Coturnix japonica: one gene and its partners. The protein of the gene in region 1 interacts with the protein of each later gene in a pairwise test. Links are inferred from orthologs where the notes say so. Each region holds a gene or a part of one and is shown in the gene's direction. Other genes may lie near its edges.

Evidence for each region.
Region 2: the proteins of myomegalin-like (region 1) and CCDC146 interact in binary tests that used the Homo sapiens proteins (3 or more experiments, as listed by UniProt). The two-hybrid records come from large-scale screens. The link is inferred for Coturnix japonica from reciprocal best matches to the Homo sapiens genes PDE4DIP and CCDC146.
Region 3: the proteins of myomegalin-like (region 1) and LMO4 interact in binary tests that used the Homo sapiens proteins (3 or more experiments, as listed by UniProt). The two-hybrid records come from large-scale screens. The link is inferred for Coturnix japonica from reciprocal best matches to the Homo sapiens genes PDE4DIP and LMO4.
Region 4: the proteins of myomegalin-like (region 1) and IMMT interact in a two-hybrid assay, tested with the Homo sapiens proteins (2 studies listed by BioGRID and IntAct, with this or other methods). The link is inferred for Coturnix japonica from reciprocal best matches to the Homo sapiens genes PDE4DIP and IMMT.

What each region holds. Positions count from the first base shown.
Region 1 is NC_029523.1:4,160,594-4,165,741, forward strand, and holds the end of myomegalin-like, read left to right. Parts: coding exon 1-110; intron 111-206; coding exon 207-383; intron 384-793; coding exon 794-988; intron 989-1,129; coding exon 1,130-1,261; intron 1,262-1,364; coding exon 1,365-1,484; intron 1,485-1,556; coding exon 1,557-1,734; intron 1,735-1,802; coding exon 1,803-1,927; intron 1,928-2,041; coding exon 2,042-2,140; intron 2,141-2,268; coding exon 2,269-2,447; intron 2,448-2,661; coding exon 2,662-2,799; intron 2,800-2,871; coding exon 2,872-3,010; intron 3,011-3,105; coding exon 3,106-3,152; intron 3,153-3,368; coding exon 3,369-3,401; 3' UTR 3,402-3,904; downstream 3,905-5,148. Other genes in the region: PRKAB2 (5'-AMP-activated protein kinase subunit beta-2), read right to left, coding at 4,814-4,891. UniProt on the Homo sapiens protein: Functions as an anchor sequestering components of the cAMP-dependent pathway to Golgi and/or centrosomes.
Region 2 is NC_029516.1:11,440,884-11,445,208, reverse strand, and holds the end of CCDC146 (coiled-coil domain-containing protein 146), read left to right. Parts: intron 1-242; exon of another isoform or gene 243-271; coding exon 272-409; intron 410-1,523; coding exon 1,524-1,772; intron 1,773-2,726; coding exon 2,727-2,930; 3' UTR 2,931-3,244; downstream 3,245-4,325. Other genes in the region: GSAP (gamma-secretase-activating protein), read right to left, coding at 4,260-4,325. UniProt on the Homo sapiens protein: Essential for sperm flagellum biogenesis and male fertility.
Region 3 is NC_029523.1:13,757,032-13,762,884, reverse strand, and holds the start of LMO4 (LIM domain transcription factor LMO4), read left to right. Parts: upstream 1-1,894; 5' UTR 1,895-4,882; intron 4,883-5,853. UniProt on the Homo sapiens protein: Transcription cofactor. Plays a role in establishing motor neuron identity, in concert with MNX1, acting, at least in part, to disrupt LDB1-LHX3 complexes thereby negatively modulating interneuron genes in motor neurons.
Region 4 is NC_029519.1:77,500,904-77,506,051, reverse strand, and holds the end of IMMT (MICOS complex subunit MIC60), read left to right. Parts: coding exon 1-119; intron 120-1,381; coding exon 1,382-1,396; intron 1,397-2,248; coding exon 2,249-2,472; intron 2,473-2,768; coding exon 2,769-2,900; intron 2,901-3,313; coding exon 3,314-3,443; intron 3,444-3,779; coding exon 3,780-4,387; 3' UTR 4,388-4,747; downstream 4,748-5,148. UniProt on the Homo sapiens protein: Component of the MICOS complex, a large protein complex of the mitochondrial inner membrane that plays crucial roles in the maintenance of crista junctions, inner membrane architecture, and formation of contact sites to the outer membrane.

The sequences.
Region 1 (5,148 bases):
GCGCTCTGCTACCAGCACCTCCTTTGTGTCTGATGTTCTGGAGCCCAGCTCCGATGGGGAAGCAGCCAGCGAGTGCAGCCAGTGCCCCGAGGAGCCCTCCCGACTCCCAGGTACCACTAGCTGGGGGCACGCAGCCCTTCTGCAGCTTGTGGCTGGAGCACAGAGCCCAATGCTAACACCCCTCTTCATCTCACTCCTGTCTCCAGGCCTCCACTTTGACTCCTTGTCCAAACCCAACAATGTCCCCCTGCCAGCACCGGCACCCGCTCACTCCTTCCTGCCCACTGGACTCCCTGCATCCCTGGGCTGCTGTGGGACCCGTGCTTGCTCCCTGGCTGAGGCACAACAGGAGCTGCAAGTGCTCCAGAGGCAGCTGGGAGAAAGTGAGCATGCACCCCTGGCGTGGGGTTGGTCCTTCCTGCCCTGCTGTACTGTGCTGCATGGCCCATGGCCCCCCGGACTCAATGTCCTTCTCCCCAAGTCCCAGCACTCTTGCAGGGGGATGATGGGGACACATGGCTCCTCTTGTACACCCTTGAAGAAAGGGAGGGTGGGATGAACACCCCTTGGAAAGGGCTGCTTTGGGTAGTCGTTGGGTAGGAGAGAGACTGAGGCTTCCCAGCTTGTGTCATGCGATCAGCACACACTGGGAGAACCTCTGTTACTTGGGGTGAATGGGAGACAGTGGCTGCACTGATGGGCACAGCAAGAAGCAAGTGGAGACAGGGTTTGTCATCCCAGTTCTTCCTCCCTGCCCTCTCCTTTTCCTCACCGCTTTGCCCTGTGTGTGCAGGTGTGACACTGCCAACAGCAAAACCCACAGCCTCACTGGGTCCCTTTGGGGAGGCCGGAAAGCCAGCAGCATCACTGTGCCAGCATGGCACTCTGCAGAACCTATTCAAGCCCCCCGCCCTCTGGGATGTGCCAGCTGCTGTCCGGCTTTATGGGACACTGCCATCAGGGTGCCCAAGCAGCCAGAAGCTAACAGGTATGAGGAGCGTTGGGAGCTTGGGAGCATCACTGCTGGGGAGACTCAGCCTCAGAAGGTTCAGGGCAGGGGGGGCAGGTGGTGGGCATGGTGTGGGGTGGGCAGTGTGTGTGTCATGGAGACGTGTCCCTGTGTGTGCAGGGGCAGACCTGCTGGAGGAGCACCTGGTGGAGATCCGCAGCCTGCGCCAGCGCCTGGAGGAGTCCATCTGCACCAACGACCGGCTCCGGGAGCAGCTCGAACGCCGCCTGGCCTCCACCGGGAAGCCCAGTGGTACGGCACAGCATGCGGCCATTGGGACTGTGCTCCCTGAGTGCTCACCCCTTGCATATCGTGGTGCTGGGGAAAGGAGCTCAGCACCTGCCCCCCTCTGCAGGTTTGCCCAGTGACATCTATGCTCAAGGGCCGGAGCTGGGGCTGCAGCTGAGCAGGGAGAACCAGGCACTGCGTGAGGACAACCGGACCCTGCGGCTGCAGTGTGACCAGTTCTCTCGAGGTAGGGTTGGGCCACCTGTGTCCTAGAGGGGAATCGCTGAGCAGGGTGACGCTGACGTCTGTGTGTCCCCAGAGCTGGCACGGGTGCAGGAGGCCCTCCTGGCTGCTTGCTCACGGGTGCGGGAGGCAGAGGCTGAGCTGGGCCAGCGGCGTGGGGAGCAGCGGAGGCTGGCAGAGGAGCTCAGCAAGCACCAGGAGAGCATCCGGCAGCTGCGAGACGAGAGGCTCTCTCTGCAGGAGGACAAAAACAGGTGAGGTCTGGGGATGGCAGGGCTGGGCATTGTGGCTGGCTCCGGACCTACATGTCACCTCTGTGCAGGCTGCAGCACACAGTAACGCTCCTGCAGCAGCAGAGTGAGGAGCACCGCCTGCTTCTGCAGGCCCTGCGCACAGAGCTTCGTGTCTATGAGAGCCTTCCCGGCCCCACCACCGAGCCCCGTGCAGGTACCAGCACTGTGCCCAGCTCGGCAGCCCTGCTCCTGACCTTGGGGTGCAGGCAGGGAGGGAGGCCCCCAGCAGCCGCAGCCATCTGCAGGGCTCAGCTGGATCTTGTTCCAGGCTGCTTCCCATCTCCTCCTGTGCGGGATGTTGGCACCAGCTCGGTAGCTCCCTTCTCTTCACCACGCTCTGACACGCTGATGCCCCAGCATACAGTTGGTAGGTAGCTGAGCCCTCCTGCATGAGTGCTCCTCAGACTGAGATACTCACGGTACCCTTGCTGAGCTCAGGGCATTGCTGCAAGCGGAAGCAAGCGCTGCTCCTCACCAGCTCTGCTTTCCCTACAGAGCCGTGTAGGGCCAACCCTCCAGTGAAGAAGAGCAAGGGACTGGCAGGGGCTCATGTTGTCGGGCACCTGGACACCTACCATTCCCTGGAGCAGCACGTCCTGGAAGGAAAGGCACTGGCCCATGAGTTGATATGCCTGACACGCCCAGCACTCGGGCTGTCCAGCACAGGAAAGGAGGTACAGGGCGGGCAGGGTGGGTTGGGGGCCTGCAGCAAGCAGGGCTCTGCCATCTACTCCATCTGCTCCATGGCTGCGGGCATACCAGGCTGCTACCAGGTGCAGGTGCTGCTTTGGGTGATTTAGGGTTGGATCCTTGTAGCACACTCCCCATGGCAGGGGAGGGGGATGGAGATGCTCCAGCAGCACCTGCTCCCGCACCCTTTTCCCACAGGTCCCGGGATGCATAGGCACAGGGCACCTCTGGGGCAGTGCCAGCACCCTGCACCGCATCCTGGAGGAGTGTGCCTCGCTCCTCACCACCTTCTGGAGCACCGTGCTGCCCGTTGGCCCCGCTCAGCACCAGGGCAAGGTGAGCACCATGGGGAGCCATCAGGGTGAGCGGGCTGGGTGCTCGCTGCTCATGGCATACGTCTCATCCCAGGAGCAAGCGTTACAGAGTGAGATCACAGCACTGCGTGCCCAGCTCTCCAAGAGGGAGGATGCTCTGCAGAGCACAGCCAAGCAGCTCCACAGCATGGCCCAGCTCAAGGACAGCATGGAACAGTTCATAGTCAGCCAGTGTATGTGGCACGGCCACACTGGCCTGGTACCCTTGTGCCTGGGGTCACCCTGTGGCACAGGGACCTTGCTGACTCTGTCCCTCTGTCCCTCACAGTGACCAGGACTCACAACGTGCTGCACAAGGCCAGGACAAATCTGGAGGTGAGTCTGCCCTGGACAGGGCTGGATGCCCTTCTCCTGGTGAAAGTTTCTGGGCCTCAACTGGGGCTGGGTACAGATGGCAGGCAACAGAGGGTAGGGTGAGCCCAGCATGCATTGGTGTGGGTCCTGCGGGCTGCCCCCACTCCTTGCATCCCTGTTCCTGGGGCATGGGTCCCTGAGGGCTATGCCCCCATTCTGTGTGTGCTCTCTCACCAGGTGAAGGCCCAGCAAGCCCTGCCTGTTGCGTGAGCCTCAGGCTGAACGATGGGAGCAATGTCCCTGGCCACACGATGGCCCACACTGGAGGGCTGGAACGGACAGGGCTCAGGGGTGCCCAGCGCTGCCCCAGGCGCTGCTGTTAGTGGGTTTGGACTCCTGTGGCAGTTGTGTGCCCTTCACCTGCCTTTGCTTGGCATCGCAGCAGCTGGCTTGGGCTTTGCCTGCCCCATGCTTCACTGCTTGCCCCCTTCCACCCACTGTGCTCAGAGCAGGGTGTCACAGCCCTCCAAGCCGAGCACTTCTTGCCCCGGAACTCAGTCTTGTGTGTAACCTTGCTGCATAACCGCTCCTGCTCATGGATGTATGTATATATATAGAGAGAGAGGTATAGATATTGGAGCTGTGTTTCAGGGTCCTCTCTGGGCATGTCAAGGCCCCAGCATGGGAGGAAAATGTAAGGAATGACACTCTTCAGTCTCTTCAGTGGCCTAAGAATCCCCAATAAAGGTTTCCTTTGGGTCCTGGTGTTTGCAGCACACCTGTCCCTGCGGCTGTGCCCCCTCCTGTAGCCACCTCGGGGTCCTGGTGGCTGTCCCAGGGGGTGCACCGTGGCACAATAATGGTCTCACTGTTCCCAAACACCCCTCCAACACCAGGCCAGCAGCACAGAGAACAATAAATACTGTAATAAATAGAGAAAACCCTGTCACATGGCACTGCTACAGCAGCAGATGATGTAGTTGGGGTCCTGGGGTATCTGCCTTGCTTCGCTCTCCCCAGGCCCGCCAGAAGCACCCGATGGTGGTGATGGGGCAGGCGTTCAGTCCTTGATGTTGGTGTCCTGGCAGCAGGTAAGCATGGCGCATCCAGCTCTGCCCACCCTCCTCCTGGCTCAGCACTGAACGTGGTAGAGGCCAAGAGCTCCCCTTGGAGCTGGGGAGCAGAAGGAGCGGGACAGCCCTGCAGCCAGGGCTGAGGAACAGAGGGACAGTGGCAGGCTGAGGCTCCCCAAGCTTCCAAGGACCAACATGGCCTTGGAGGCTCATTACCAGGGCAGCAAAAGGTCACTTTGCTGCTGGCCTGGCTGTGGACGGTGCCAGGACAGCCTCAGGGCCATCACAGTCTAGAGCAGAGGAGCAGTGAAGCCCTTTCTGTGTCAGGAGCGAGGAAAAGCTGTTCCGTGAGCAGCAAAGCAGCCCCAGAGACTCACTGAAGCCAAAGGGGAGCTGCAGGTGGGCGGAAACCAAGGGTTAAATCAAACCACACCAGTATAATGGGACAGCAGGACGGCCCCAGCAGGCCTGGGCTCAGCACTGGGGGTTGCAGCCCCCCCCAGGTTAGAGGCTGGATCCAGCAGCCAGTCCTCACACAGTCCTGTGGCCCAGCGTGTGCAGACAAAGTGGCATTTCGTGTCCTGCGTGGGGGGTGGGCGAGGCCCCGGCTCAGATAGGTTTGTACAGCAGCGTGGTGACGTACTTCTTCTTGTAGCGGTGTGTGGCACTGAGCACCATCACGCCATCCTGTGAGAGGCAAAGCATCAGCTGCAGTGGGTGGGGAGCTCAGTGCCATAGGGCACCCCCAGGCAGCTGGGAGGAAGAGGCCCCTGCCGCTCTATAGGCCTGGGGGGGGCTGGCCCAGCCACCAAGAACCACCCACCCACCCAAGACAAAGAGCCAAGGAACGGAGCTGGCTTATGACAGGAGAGCACGGGGCTGCCCAGCTCCACCAGGCTGTGAGGAGGCAGCTACAGGGAACTGGGAGCTGTACGGACATCACC
Region 2 (4,325 bases), on another chromosome or scaffold:
AGTCAGCAGTGATTCAGCACAAACACTCCCTGGGGTCCCTTGCATTGCTCAAACCTTTTGCTTTACATCCCTGTGTCCTGTGGCAGAGCAGGGATCTCAGCAGGGCTGTGTGGGCACAGGGTCACAGCCCACCTGTACAAACCTCACCAACATTACAGAACTGGCTTTCATGAACTTGTGACGTAGGATTTAACATTCCCACTCAATCTCTCCTCATTATTGCACCTTCCCCCAGCGTTTACCTGTGCTGTGCATATTCTTCCCACTGCAGCTGGAGGAGGAGCTGGTGCAGAAGGAGGAGAAGCTGCTGGAGACAGAGATGATCTACGAACACATCGTCCGGCTCACAGACAGGATCCGCGCCACAGCAGAGAACGGGCAGCAGGGCACAATGCTGCTGGCAACACGGGTAAGGAGGGCACGCTCTGCTCACTGGCCCATAGGAAACAAGATTCTATCTGGGCTGCAGCTGAGATGACTTGCTTGCAAATTACGAAACTAGCAGCTGGAATCAGTGACAGGCAAATTGTATGTTAGTCTTAAGAAAGGACAGATGTAATAACTGCAAAACATGGAAGGAGAGGAGGCCTGATCCTTAAGTAAATAACTTGAGGCTGCTTGGAAAGCGTATAACAACAGAGAGGAAATTGAGAAAGCAAAAGAGAGAAGGACAGAGACAGGAAGTCATCAGCATTGGCCATAGCACAACAAACACAGCAGCAGCCAAAAAAAGAAATCTTCCCACCTCCACCACACTGATGAAAAAGCTCCAAATAGCTCCAAACCCAGTGAGAGATAGAGAGAAAACAAACAACACAGTGATGTAATAATGTACAACAAGGCCAGGGCTGACTTTTCTTTGTTGTTAACTCTGGCGCTCAGGCTTAAAATCAGAACACATCTCTTCAGGAGGAAATCTTTCCTTTTCTACAGAAAGAAATAACACGGCTGCCATTTGCCCTTGTGAAATTACAGCCATTGGCCATTTACTGCACAAAGGGCAGTGTGCCAGAAGTTACACACTCAGGCTCTACCAATTCTCTATCGATTACCTTAAAAACAGCATTGGAGCTCTTTTACACTTTCTTTTTTTGTTAATGTTAATTTTTAACTTCTGTCCACTCATAATCACAGATTCCCACCCTGTTCCCTTTCTGTCCACCTCCCTGCTAAGAACAACTCAGCACCTCACAGAACAGCCGTGTCCGTGTTTTATCACTGAACTACTTTGTGAGGCCTGGACTTAACGCACTTGTTAGTAACGCAGTAATTGTGCGCAGGCTTAATCAGAATCCAGGCTTAATACCTTCCTTTGTGGTAAATGGAAGTCTTGTTCGTCATCTGTAAGGGGCAGGATAGCATTACAAAGATGATATTTTCCAACCATTATTTTCAAGAACAGAGTTGTTTTTTGAAACACAGCTGATTTCACCAACCTTACTTTCCCATACCTGAGCACCACTAAGTGTCTATAGATGTAATTGTTACTAAATATGCAAAATGCACTTGGTTTCTGATTCCAGATAAATGAACTACAGCAGAAGATAAAAGACAGGACCAAGAAGATGATGGCTCTTGTCGCAGAGTTATCCATGAAGCAGGCCCTTGCCATTAAACTCCATCAGGAAATGAGAGACAGAGAAGAGTTTTTGATGATTGTTTCGTCAAGGATAGAACAAGGCCTTCCTCCTCCTAAAGAGACAGAGATTGAATGGTTGAAGGTTTTACGCAACGAGAAGATGCACAAAGAAGCAGCAGAGGCCAGAGCTAGAGTAAGTTTTTGCTCTGAGTTGCGCTTTGGCTCCTCCTTTTTTTACCGCTCTAACTTGTCCTTCTGAAAGAGCAGCAGATCTCACACAATGCACAGCTGCTCACTGACAACCACGGGGCTCCAGGAGCTGGTGGAGATGATGGGACAGACAGAGGCAACTACAAAACCAGCACATGGTGGATTTTTGGAGCTACAAACTGTAGTTTGGCACACTGCTCAGATAGAACAGGTCTCAGACCTTAAGTAGAGGATATGTTACACTCAAATTACTTTAATAATCAAAGGTAGATCTTGCTTTATGTGACAGTGCTTTGAGTTAACTGATAGATAGACAAATACAACTGAGATGAGTATAATTGAGGGAAAACCTGCAGGTAGGAAACTGGCCTTGCTATATGATTCCTTCTCCAAAGTAATCCGAAATGAACACAAAACTAGGAGAGGAATGCACAGTGTATACGTTTCAAGAGCCTGAAGGCACAAAGAACTGTTGCAGTTAAACTGGTTTACAGTAAGAAACCTCTTGTCATTGACTCTTTTCATATCATATTATTAGTACAGTGATAGTATTCAAGAATAGCTGCTGTCAGCATAAATACAAACTGGGCTTTGAAGCATCATATCTATTATCTTGTTCCCGAGATGGTCTGTGCACACTTATTGTAATTACTGCAAGTTCATCTCATTTTCTTTCTCAACAACAAAAGTATTACAGGCTCAAACTACACAGTATTTAAAAGGACAAACTCATACCTATGTGGTCAGTACATTATGCTTTCCCTCAGTGAACAGTTAAACACCTGCCTGTGTTTTCTTGTTTTTTGATTTGCTAAGAACTGGGTGAATAGTATTTAGTATTTATACATTGGGCATCCTCCACCTTGGCTCAGAAGAGTACTGACTGCAGTCTTAAAACAAGTAGGCACGATGTGCTCATAGTGTGTTTCTTTTACAGCAGGCTGCAGAAGAGGAAGAAGCTGCAGTGCTTGGCCATGTCCACACAACAGCTGAACCGCGGCCAAATGCTTATGTCCCAGATGATGCATACAGCCTGCCACTGCCACGGCCCTATGGCGCTTTGGCTCCTTTCAAGCCAAACGAACCTGGTTCAAATATAAGACATTTCAGAAAACCAATTATAAAGCCAATTGAAATCTAAGAAGACAGCACATGAAGGAAGAGAAGCCCTTACCAGCTGCTGAGTATCACAAGTTGACAGCACTTATCCTACATGAAATGCACATTAGAGTATAGCCAAATTCTACACAGCAAACAAAGCAGTACATAATTCCAGAAGCGCAGCTAAATACTCAGTGATACAAGTTCCTTCCTTCTGATTTGGTGGAGCCTGATATGCCAAATGCACTGCAGTATTTTAAAATGAGTAATCATCAGACTACTCTTTTGTTTTTTCAGGTAAAGTTTTATTACATCTATTTTACCGCACATTTCAATAAAAACAATAAGGTAGAAGATCTTCTCTGGTTATTAATAGCACATGAATGAAGTCTCCACACATTACACAAATACAACATCACAGCTTTCCACAGCCCAAGACTGAAAAAAAAATATTTAACTGAGAAAAATTTATGCCAACCTTCAAAATATGAAAAAGTGCACACAAAAAACCAAACCCACTTTGGTTACTCATAAATAATAGTCAAAATGAGGAGAAAACAACCTCCAGCCGTTCTTCCTGAAGCAGTTTTGAACTGTAATACTAAAAGCGGGAAGGAGAGAATTGAGTAAAACTCATTCCATGCTGCTGTGAAGGTACATTTCCGAAGAATTTCCTTCTTGCCCTGTATTGCATTCAATATATCATACATGTCTTAAAAAAAACAAACATAACATAAAATCCCTCTCCCATATAATTTAAGGAGACTACATTTTGTGCTAATTACATCGCTGAATATATTAGAATCCCACTCCAAAGGCAGAAGTACCATAAGGCAATATATGGCCACCGCAAGGAATGAGTATCATTATTGGTGCATTATATACAAAGACCGACTTGTCATTTGTTATTCTTACCTATTTTACATTATCGTATCAAGAAAAGCTTTTATTAGTCTAAATGAGTAAACAGTGGCCAGTTTCTTGTTACTGTACAGCTGGACTACCCTTTCCAGCATTGTCTGTCTCGTTAAAACTGTTAAGAGTAATACCATATTTCACAGCATGTTTTAATACCCAATAGTTCCATTGATTTGACCACTTCAGAACTGAAACCCCAGATGTGCTGGGAACCCAGGTCTGCGTCAGATGTACTTCTCTACAGTTTACCTACAGGTCAGTAATTTCAGTCTTAGTGCACTGGACAATTGCTACTTTGAGTAGCTGATGTCAGTAATGGTGGCTACTCAAAACTGCTGAGTAATTAGCAAACAACATGACATTTAAGACTAAATAACGTCAGAGTTGGCTGCACACTTCTGTGTGAATGATTTTGAGTACCATCATTTACATGCAGTTGAAGAAAGTCGTTTCAGGAATATCTGAGGCCCAAGAGCATCATCGTGTGTTTCAGTGCTGCTTCCTCCACAAACCTGAC
Region 3 (5,853 bases), about 9.6 Mb from region 1:
CCCCACCTCCAGATTTCAAAAGGTTAATGAAAATCAAGTATCTTGCCTTTACTGGGAAACTTGGAAAGCTTCCCACCAAACATTTCTGTTTTTGTGATAAATAAGCCAGACCGCTTCAGCTGAGAAAGACGGGTGTTTTGCTAATGTGTACAGCTGTTAATTGAAAAAGATTCTGTTATGCCTGTTCTTCTGGACATAGATAAAAGAGAGATTTGTTGGTGAACTTTAGTTGGTCCTGAACACCCCTTTGTCCAAATACACTGCTCAATAATAACGCTTTGTTCTGTCTGTAACAGCCATGGAAGGATTTTGAGTGGAATACTCATTTTCTTTAAGTCATATCTGCCAGTGATCATTCTTGGCTTAAGATCAGCTGCCATTTATGTGTTTTATGAAAATATAACACCAGTTTTATGCTCAAAACTATTCTTTTTTAGGTAAAAGCTTCAGCACAAACTGGTTCCCCATATGTACCATAAATGCTATTTATCACAGGTTTTGGTCTTTAAAACAGAAAGATAATGTTAAAACATTTTCATTATCCTTTCCTTACAGCTATCATTCACAAACCATCTTTTATAATTATGGCACTAGGACATTTACATAACTGGGAAAAAGGTCCTTAAACTACATTTCTATTATGTTTGGCACTTGTGTGAAAGGATATTATATTCATGTGCATTAGAGATTGCTTATAAAAGATCAAGACAATAATAGCAGATCAGACGATAAAGGTTCCCTTTTCTCCTCCCAGACAGGCTGTCTCTGACAGAAGAATACAGTTCATCAAAAGTGTCTGCAGGTTGTCAAACTCAGTGAGATTTGGGGACACTCGGAGGCTGTCATGGCCAACAAGAAGATTTTCTGTAGGGTTCTGCCATCATTCACCCTCAGGAAATAATCACTCACTACATTCTGCATGCTCTCATGATAGAGCTCTATTTGAGAGAAAAGAGCCATTTTATCAAAGGACAATATATCCCTTCTCTTGGTCCATGCAGCTTCCATTATCAGACTATAATAAATCATATTTATGTTCTCAGTTAATAAGACTGATTACAATGCAGGTTACAGGCATGGGAAAAGCAAAGCAGGTGAAAAGATGTTTTAATGAAAATATGATAAGCAAACAGCTTCTTGTGAACATTTCAGGCTGTTATTTGTAATGATCACAGGCATTTTTTGATACATCTTCCTTAGCAATGGTTTAAGCTGCATAAATTGGCTTGCCACTTTATACGTCGAAATAGGAAGAATCCCAATGTCCTTCTCATGTTGTCTGGAATCATTATATACATTATAAGCATAAAATGAGTTTAATGTATGTGCTTTGAAAAGAAGGGGAAAACAGAAAATCAGGGAGGACTGATTTTAATGCTGCTCAAAATGATTTTGAAATTTTCTGCTCATCTTTGTTACTAACGGAGCATTTTCCATGAAATTTAGGAATGACATGTGGTGCTTTCATCTCCTTAAAATTAATATACTTCTCTTTCTGTTTTTCTCAATTTCTTCAAAGTTCTTTTTAGAACACTGTGCAAAGACAGAGAGAAAATTCTCCACTCGATGTGTGAACATATCTGTTATTAGTGCTGGGGGGAGTTAAGTGTGTGCTTCTAGAGGAGAATATAGCTCTGCATTAAATACTGGAGTAAACCCTATTAAAAAGGTGCAGGGATATTTAGCTGCAGCACACCTGATGCATTCAAAGGCCAAATTCCTTGGAATCTTTTAAAGTGATTAAGATCTCTTTTGTTAAGAATTCTCCAATGATTTCAGAATGTAACTGTACCTAAATAGCTGATAAAATGTCCTGCTCTTGTCTTGCCAAAAGCTTTCTTTTATGTTTTATTGTTGCTTTTTTTTTTTTTTCGTAGTCATTTGGTTTATGTTTAGCATCATACTTTCAAGACAAAGTTAAAAATTTAGAGAATAATTTCCTCCTGCTAGCACATAACGCTGACTAAGTACATCAAAATCTACAGCACTTGCAGAATGCGAACATTATGCTTATAATGTATATAATGACTCTAGACAATATTAGAGGGACACTGGGATTCTTCCTATTTTGACAAAGTGGCGAGCAAATGCAGAAGTCTCTGTGGTGTTGTGTGTCTGCAGGAGCTGTTCTGGTCACTGACACTTCTAAAACTCTCTTAAATAAATGTTAAAGCGTTGTAATGGGCCTGGCAATGGAGAATGACCATGAAATTTCCTTAACCCTCTTAGGGTGCTTCAGCAGAAGTGATCTCACAAGAAACAGTAAACTGCTCTTCAAAGGCAGTATCCTGATATGACAACAGATGTAGATAATGCACTTCATGATGGAACTGCTTGATACAGAGAAAAACATGTTGTAACTGCCTTCACCGTGAAAGGGGTTTAAAAATGCTGCCTGCCAACTCCACAAAAAAACAGAGCTGCTATTTCAGTTAAAGGCCAGTGGATTGTATTTTTCATGTCAGTTTTCACTAACCTCAAACATCACTGTTATGACAGACTGTCAACCAACCAAACCAGAACTGTGGTGCCATTCAGGCAAGAAGGAAGAAAGCAAACACAAAGGAAACTTAGAAGTCCAAATAGTAAGAGGGGGTGCCTATGAGTGCACTTTTGTGCAGTGATACTGATTACTGAAAATGAAACACTTAAAAGAAAATAAACCCAAAAAAGTGCTTTCTGAGCCATTAGTGTTTTCTTGCCTGGCAGTTTCTCTTTGTTCTGTTTCATGACATCAGCCTCGGTGGTTGAAAGGGTGTTCTGGGCCAGATGTCAATCACACTGTCTGACATAAACAAAAATAGCTAAAAAGACATGCCAGCATCTTCCTTTTGTTTTCCCATTAGCTCCATTTTTCTTTTCAGAGGCTGACAAAAAATTACTGCCTCCGAGTGAATTCAGTAATGTCACTATATATCTAATATCTAGGAGACCTTTTGTTTTAGCTTTACTGGGCTTAACCACAAAAGACACTTGACATTGACAAAGAGTCTGTCAAATACACAATGATCAGTGCAATGAAATCTCTCATGACAGAAGGGCACTATTCTGCACCCCCAGCCTGCAGCAGCCTGTCTGAGCAAAATGTGCTGGAGCACACACAGCAGCTGAACCATTGCAGAGCAGGCCATAAGCTGAGATGTGTCTTGTTTAAAGTGTCATAGTATATTAGTGTAATTAAAACCGCCAAAAGAATAGAAAAGATAGATGGAAATGTTACATTACTTGTTTCTAGAGATTAACCTCCAGCCAGAACTGAAATACAGAGACACATTTTGCATGTCTTAGAGCTCAGATATGGAAGAAAACAAGCCTGAGAGTATGTCTCTTGAAGTGTGAGACATGAAGTCATAGTTCCTGTATTTACACAATAAAGCAGAAATAGCATTTCAGACAGGCACGCTGTTTTCTCTCTGATTACAGCTCCTGTTGTGGCTGTACTCTGCAAAGCAGCTGTATCATCTCTCAGCTACTTCTATTTTACTCTCTCTGCCTTCGTTCTTGGAAGATCTTGAGGACCCTTGTGCTGGTGTCAATGCCTTCTGCTCCCTTGGCATCTGCCAGAGTTGTGTGGGCCCCGCCTGGAGGCAGAGCACCCTATTCCTGCCGGTGGCTGCAGAAGCCACAGCTCAGCTCCAGGCTCAGCAACACCCAGCTAGGGAGATGTCTGAAGAGTGGCTTCAATATGACCTTTATATGCCAGGCTGCATGCTTGCTTCTCTGCTGATTCTATAGATAAAACTGTATGGCTTTCTGAAGTTGACCCTGAAAATTATGTTCCCAGCACTGCATGTTTTCCTTCCCATGCATCATTACCTGTGATAACTATTCAAGCCTAACTAGTTATGAACTCTGTTTCTAACCATGACACAAGTTAAATCTGTTGGTAAAAAAGCCTTGAAGTTTTTGTGGACCTGTTCTGCTGTATAGTCTGAACCTTGGTTAATCCAGAATCTGGAGAGGACATGATCTGGCTTCAGCAGTTCTGAAACACTGCAAAAGCAGCATGGCTTTCTTCTAACGTAAGCCTTACATTCAAGGAGAAGATGCATTAATCACGTAGGTCTCATGTTCATTTCTTCCACTATAAATGAACTTCAAGGCTTTGCCCCATTAGTTGGTCAGTTTGAAGTTAAGAGATGTTAAATATAGGCCTTACATTTTCGGTTTCCTCATACTTCCTCTATTTCCCAGCTTTAAATATCAGTTAATGACTTCTCCATATAACAGTACTCTTTAATTTCTGGTCAGAGGCTGTAAATGTGCACTGTTAGTCAAAAATATGTTATCTGCATTTAGTGTTGGCTTCTGGAGCCTTCACCACCAAGTTACCTCACAGTCGCATCTCTCTTCACGTGATTTTCCAGGTACTGCCAGGAGAAGAATGGAAAATGACTATGAAATAAAAGCACATTCTGCTCCCATTACAGGCAATGAAAACTGTGCTTTTACTTCTACTTACTCATAATGGTGGGGGGAAAAAATGAAGTGGAAACAAGCACAACAAAACACCTCTGCCAGCTATCTATAAGCTAACCAAGGCTTCCACTAATGAGGTGGTCTGGCATTTTGAGAAAGACGGGTTTTTCCAGAAATGGAAAAAATATGCTGTTTTTTTCCTTCAACTCTGAGAGCTTAGTGAGAGAGTAAGAAATTGCATTTCAGAGGGATAGCAAACTTTTAATGCTCTCAGTATTATTTAATACTTACAGACACCAGTGTAGTTTCTTGTCAGTTGAATGTTTTTGCATGTTTATTTGTGAGATTACTAAATACTTTCCTACAAACTAGTTATTTGCTGTATTTACAGATTCATCTCAGTGACTGTGAAATTCCTGAGGATGTTATTACTTTCAAGTCAGATTAACAGAGTAATTTCCAGGTAAGATATTCTGGAAGATAATACCATGGACAATTGCATAGTCTATTAAACAGAACTGAACTGTTTGTGGAAAAGATAATAATCTAGATCACAAGATAGCACCAGATTTTATGTTATGATCTCCAAATGTCTTTGGGAGCTTAATGCACTCAGCATTAGTTCAAGTCTAATTTGCATGGCAGAAAAGTGAGTTCCAGTTTCCACCTCTCTGGGGCTGTGTTGGGAAACTCTTGTCTCCCTGGGAACTGCAGAGGACAGGCTGCTATGGTTTGGTTATGCTTTGGCAAGAGTATTCACCATGTTACTAGCTGCTCCTGGAGTGCCCAGTGGTATCAAGTGCAGAAAAGAAAAGCTTTCACCTTAGACAGTGAGGTGTTCAGGCCTTTCTACTATATCCCCTATCACAGCTGGCTGAATGTTTTCCTGAAGGCCACAGATTTCCTGGAGGTTCTGGTGAGTCACATCTGTCTCTGAGCATGACACAGTGCACAAAACCTCTCAGGGCTTCAGGTAGGATTTTAGCATTTCAGAGTCTTCAAATGTTGTGCTGTGTAAGGATGTGCTTATACATAATTTTGTAATTGAAATGGCATGTTTACTGTTCCATTTCATGCTTGATTGTGTTTTTTAAACACCTTTACTCATGCTGCTAGAAGTGGGATTATAATTAAAATGTCCTGTTGAACACCTTGTTCAGTTCAATGAAGGCATAATAGAAGTATAAATACTTGTTCTTGTTGACTCTGTGATGTCAGCACAACAAATGCAGTAGATGTCAGGAAACTAATTTCTTTTTTACCAAGGCATCTGTAAAGAGGGAAGGGGAAACAAATTCTGTGGCTGGGAGAAGTGAGCACCTCTCTTCAGGAGGATAGGAAAGATTTTGAGATACCATTAACCTCTTAATGTACAGTGAACCTGAAGTTCCAAGAGGCTTTCTGAGTGTTGGCTGACAAACTAAAGGAGTTCCA
Region 4 (5,148 bases), on another chromosome or scaffold:
ACAGTCTGAGGCCAAGATCGTGGCTCAGTATCATGAACTTGTGGCTACGGCAAGAGAGGAGTTTCAGCGAGAACTCGAGAGCATCACCCCCGATGTGCAGCCGGGCTGGAAGGGGCTCAGTAAGTCTGCGGCGATGGCAGTCAATCGTAGAGCAGTTCATAGAGCAGCTGTAACAATGCCTGCTTTCAGGATTCCCTGATTCTGAGCTCCCTGATTCTTTCTAGATAACTGAAAGAGTGAATTCACTGCTCTTTAAATACTTCACTTATCCCAGTGTGTTAGTTCTAAAGGAGAGTGACACAGGAGTTGATCTGGAGTAACAGCCAGTGCTGCACAGAAGCAGTAAATGGCTGCGTGGTGTTTTCCAGCTGCTACAGTTCTTTGCCTGAGGTCTGACATCTGGCACACTCATGTTTTTGAGGTGCTTGGGTTTTTCAGCTGGAGCTCCTTCCTGCTTTCCTTAGAACAGATAAAAGTGAAGTGAGAAATGTGATTCAGAAGTACAGTTAGAATCTTTCTGCCTCAGTAGAGGGATAAATGTATTACTCAGAGTTGTTGGAAGGTTCAGATACCACCACAGTGTGATTGCAGGCAGGCAGGGAAGGAGTCAGGCTTGCAGTTAAATTCTTATGGCTAAAGCAAGTCAGCTCATCCTCTGTGATCCTCTTTCTTAATGGTACTTAATGCTCTAGAAATGTGAATGTTAGTCCACAAACTCATTTTCAAAGCTAAATGAAAACACCAGGCCTGTGTAACACATGGGGTTTTTGTTCTGTAAGAAGTTGGGAGAACTTACTAGGTTGAGAAACTGCAGTTTGCTGTGCTGTCTCTCTTATGTTCAATCTTCTGGGATATTAGTTCTGAAGAAAATGGGATTTGGCATCTGGAGATGGAGCTACCATTTCTAATGCAGGATAAGGGGAGGACATCCTGAGTATTGTGAGCACTGCACTGTTCTGAGAGAGGGAACATCCCGGCAGCTTCCAGGCGTTCAGTTTCACACCAGTGTGACCCTACTTAGTGTACAGGACTGACTCGATAGTGACTCTCACTGCTACCTGGGAATTTGTCTCTTACCCAACTGCTCGTTTGTAAGGACCTGGAAATTCTCAGTGTCCTGTTGCACTTCTTTACTTGTATTTCTCGCTTTGACTGAACCTAAAGGTTCATCTGTGGGTTTCCAAAGGCAGCTGTAGTGGTGGGGATGTTTGGGTTACATCTTGCTTGTAACAAGGAGGGATCTCCGGAGTCTGTTCTTGAACTCCTGCAGCCTTGGATCACTCTAGACCAGAAGCTTTTAGTTGTCCATTGTACTATTGCACGACTGACTGCTGTAGTGAATGTGCATTAACTTCTCCAACCTCTCCTCTTTCTGTTGCAGACATAACTGATCTAGGTGAGTTCCTGTAACTTTTTCTGGTCTTGTGAATATTCTCTCTTTCCTCTTTGTCCTTTTTGATGTTTGTGTGGTGCACCACTTTAATTACATGCACTATCAGCAAAGCAGTGAAAAATATCCCTGCAATATTTCAGACTGGGCTGTGCTTTGGGATCCTTGCCGCTAGTTCTGTATGTGCTGCTTAAACCAGACTTTGTCTAGCAGCTCTCACTTGCCAGGTGAGTGTGGTTTGCATTGGAAAGCCACGCTTCCACTTGCTTTGTGTATTTCAGCCAGTCACCAGCTGCTGCTGAGATCCCAATGGGAAACAGAAATGAATCCATCCTAATCAACAGTGGTTAATTCTAACTGACAGTGGTTTGCTTCAACTTTGGGCCTGATTGAGGCCGGCTCCTGCTGATACCACCAGCACATCTGGGTGCTCTGAGCTGGGTCACCAAACTGAGGGACTGAATTTGGATTTAATCTTCATGATTGATTTCCTCTCTGATTCTGAGGTTGATTTTTCTGAGCTCCTTGGTGGTGCTGCTCAGCTTTTGGGTCAGACCTGCTGCACCAGATAACAAATAGCAACATCTGACTGTGAACATTTGGCCTGGAGAGCTGCTGAACAGCATGAATTGTAGATGTGAATGATTCAAATGAACTGGAGTAATTTTTCTCCCAAGTGCTGGGAAGTTCTTATAGATTTGGTTCGGAAAGGAGCATTTGGGTGGGCTTTACCACCAATCAGTGTCTCTTAAAACGTGCTCACAGGTCAACCATGTATGGAGCCCTGGAGCTCTCCAGGGGTAGGAGGTGGGGTAGCTTCTCTGCAGCTCTTTCTAATAGCGCCTTGTTGTTTTTTAGCTGGGCAGTTATCAACAGACGACTTGAATTCCCTGATTGCACACGCGCATCGTCGCATCGACCAGCTGAACAAGGAGCTGGCTGAGCAGAGGGTCAGGGAGCAGCAGCACATCGAGTTGGCCCTGGAGAAGCAAAAACTTGAAGATAAAAAGGCACTCGAGGCAGCTGTGGCAAAAGCACTGGAGCATCACAAAAGTGAGATTGAAATAGAACAGGAGAAGAAGGTAAAGTGGTGGAACTCGCCTAGAAGAGGGGCACAGGGAGCAGCAGGGTGTTGTGAGTGCTGGGGGACTTCAGGTTGGGGCCCCCTGCCTATGCTAAGCACGGAAGGGAGATTTTGAGCAAGGAAACTTCTTCAGGTGTAGAATGGCCACCCCTTGTAATCTTTAGGAAAAGGCTGAGCTGTAAGAGCAGCCCTTGGCAGCTTTGTAAGATAAAGCGTGAGTTTAAATCAGTAACACTTCTATATACCCTGATGGGTAACAACTGCTGTGCAATTGTGCTGCTTAATTGCATACAGCTTGAAGAGGTCCGAGAGGTGATGGAGAGTGAAATGAGGACGCAGCTCCGGCGGCAGGCAGCTGCCCACGCCGATCACCTGCGGGATGTCCTTAAGATCCAGGAACAGGAGCTGAAGGAGGAATTTGAGCAGGTGAGAGAAAGGAATCACCCAGGAGCCGGGTGGGAATTTGGTCAAAATGCTGGTGGTGAAGCTTCACAAAGCAGGCACTTTGCAGGAGGAAACGCGAACCATCTGCTGGAACACTCAGTGGGGGCTGGGGAGGGAATCTGCTCATCTGGAGGAGGTGAAGTCCTTCAGCATGTAGATTTAATGCTGAGTTGTCTTAAGATCCTCAGCTATAGGTGAACATTTGATAATTAGGAATGTTAGGAATGTATTAACCATTAATTTCACCACTTTAAAAGGACTTATTAGTGGTATATTTACTACGTGTGTTGTCTGGAGCAAGAATAAAAGGTTACGCAAACATATCTTAAGAGGTTGAATATGGTTAGTTGAAGAAACAGCTCTCGCTGGCCTGATGATGTACAAATCTATTTCAGAACCTATCAGAGAAACTCAGCGAGCAAGAAATGCAATTCCGACGCCTTAATCAGGAGCAGCTCGACAACTTCACGCTGGATATAAACACTGCCTACGCCAGGCTGAAAGGAATTGAGCAAGCAGTTGAGAGTGAGCACTGAGATCTCATCTTCTTAAGGAGCAGTCACAGTTCTTGTCCAGATCTGGTGCCTGAACACCAGATTAGCCATGTGGCTGATGGTTTGCCATCGGCCGAGTACTCAATAAGTCCCAGCTGCAAAGTCCAAAGCTGGTTCTGCCAAAGCCATAGCTGTGCTCTGTTGGCAGGGACTCTGAGGTGTGGAACAGACTTGCTTTGTGCAGATGGCAGGGGGGTGGCTACTTCAGAAGTGTTCAGAGGGATGGCTTTTGTTGCTTGAATTGGAACACGTTTGTGTTCAGTGCTTTCCCTGTGTGCCTCAACTGAGAGTCCTCTTGACTTTGCAGGTCACGCAGTAGCAGAAGAGGAGGCCAGAAAGGCCCATCAGCTGTGGCTTTCTGTGGAAGCACTCAAGTACTGCATGAAGACGGCCTCTGGTGACAGCCCCACTGAGCCGCTGGAGAGCGCAGTGAAGGCCATCAAGGCCAGCTGTTCTGACAATGCCTTTACAGAAGCCTTAACAGCAGCCCTCCCCCAGGAGTCTCTGACACGAGGGGTGTACAGCGAAGAGGCCCTTAGAGCACGGTTCTACACAGTCCAAAAACTGGCAAAAAGAGTGGCTATGATTGACGAAACGAGAAACAGCTTGTATCAATACTTCCTGTCCTACCTGCAGTCCCTTCTTGTGTTCCACCCTCAACAGCTGAAGCCACCGGCTGAGCTCAGCCCTGACGACCTCGATACGTTTAAATTACTGTCTTACGCTTCCTACTGCATTGAACACGGAGATCTGGAGCTGGCAGCTAAATTCGTCAACCAGTTAAGAGGAGAGTCCAGGAGAGTCGCACACGATTGGCTGACTGAAGCTCGAATGACCCTTGAAACCAAACAAATAGTGGATATCCTGACAGCATACGCCAGCGCTGTGGGGTTGGGAACAACTCAAGTGCAGTGAGCTCGGACTGTTAGTTCAGAGGCAGTTCAGCAGTTGCTCACGCTGAAGAGAAACCCAGCAACCTCCTGAGGGTGAGCTCCTAAGGGCTGCAAACCAACCAGCTGGTGGGGGCGGGCTGGAAGCGTTAAATCAAAGCGTGGGTCCTGTCCTGTTTCCTTGCACTGTATTTAAGTTACCACCTGTTGTATTTGTATTGGGTTTGCGTTACGACCACCAACTTCAGGAAGCTTCTTCACAATCTGTGTAACAATTTTGTTTCCCCGTCTTACCAAGCAGGCTTGTGATCCAGCCAAAATGTTTGTAACCTGCCCTTAATGATTTGCCACATTGTCAGCTGAATAAAACAAGACTTCAACCACTCTCCTGCTTCTCAGTTTCCTCTTTAGCAGCAAAGACAGCTGCCATGCAGGAACGGCCTGTCTCTGTGACCTGAGGAAGACAAGGCTTCATCTTCGTACTAATCCCACCCCTTAATAAGTGCATGTTGAATTCCTGGAGCAAACTCTGCTTTCAAACAGCTTTACTACAAATCTTTTACTGTACTGCACTTTAAGCTGCAGTTCAACCTGTAGCAGCTGCTGTCTCCCAGTCTTATTGCTGACCAATCCTTAAGCTGCCCTCATAGCAGTTAGGACTTGTCCTGCAGCATTACACCCAGAGAGGTCTTATTTCTTATGAAGGGAATTGGCTGTTAATTCCCCCACAGTAGGACATGCTTCAGTATGAGCAGGAAAAGGACCTTCACAATAAATTACCTCAAA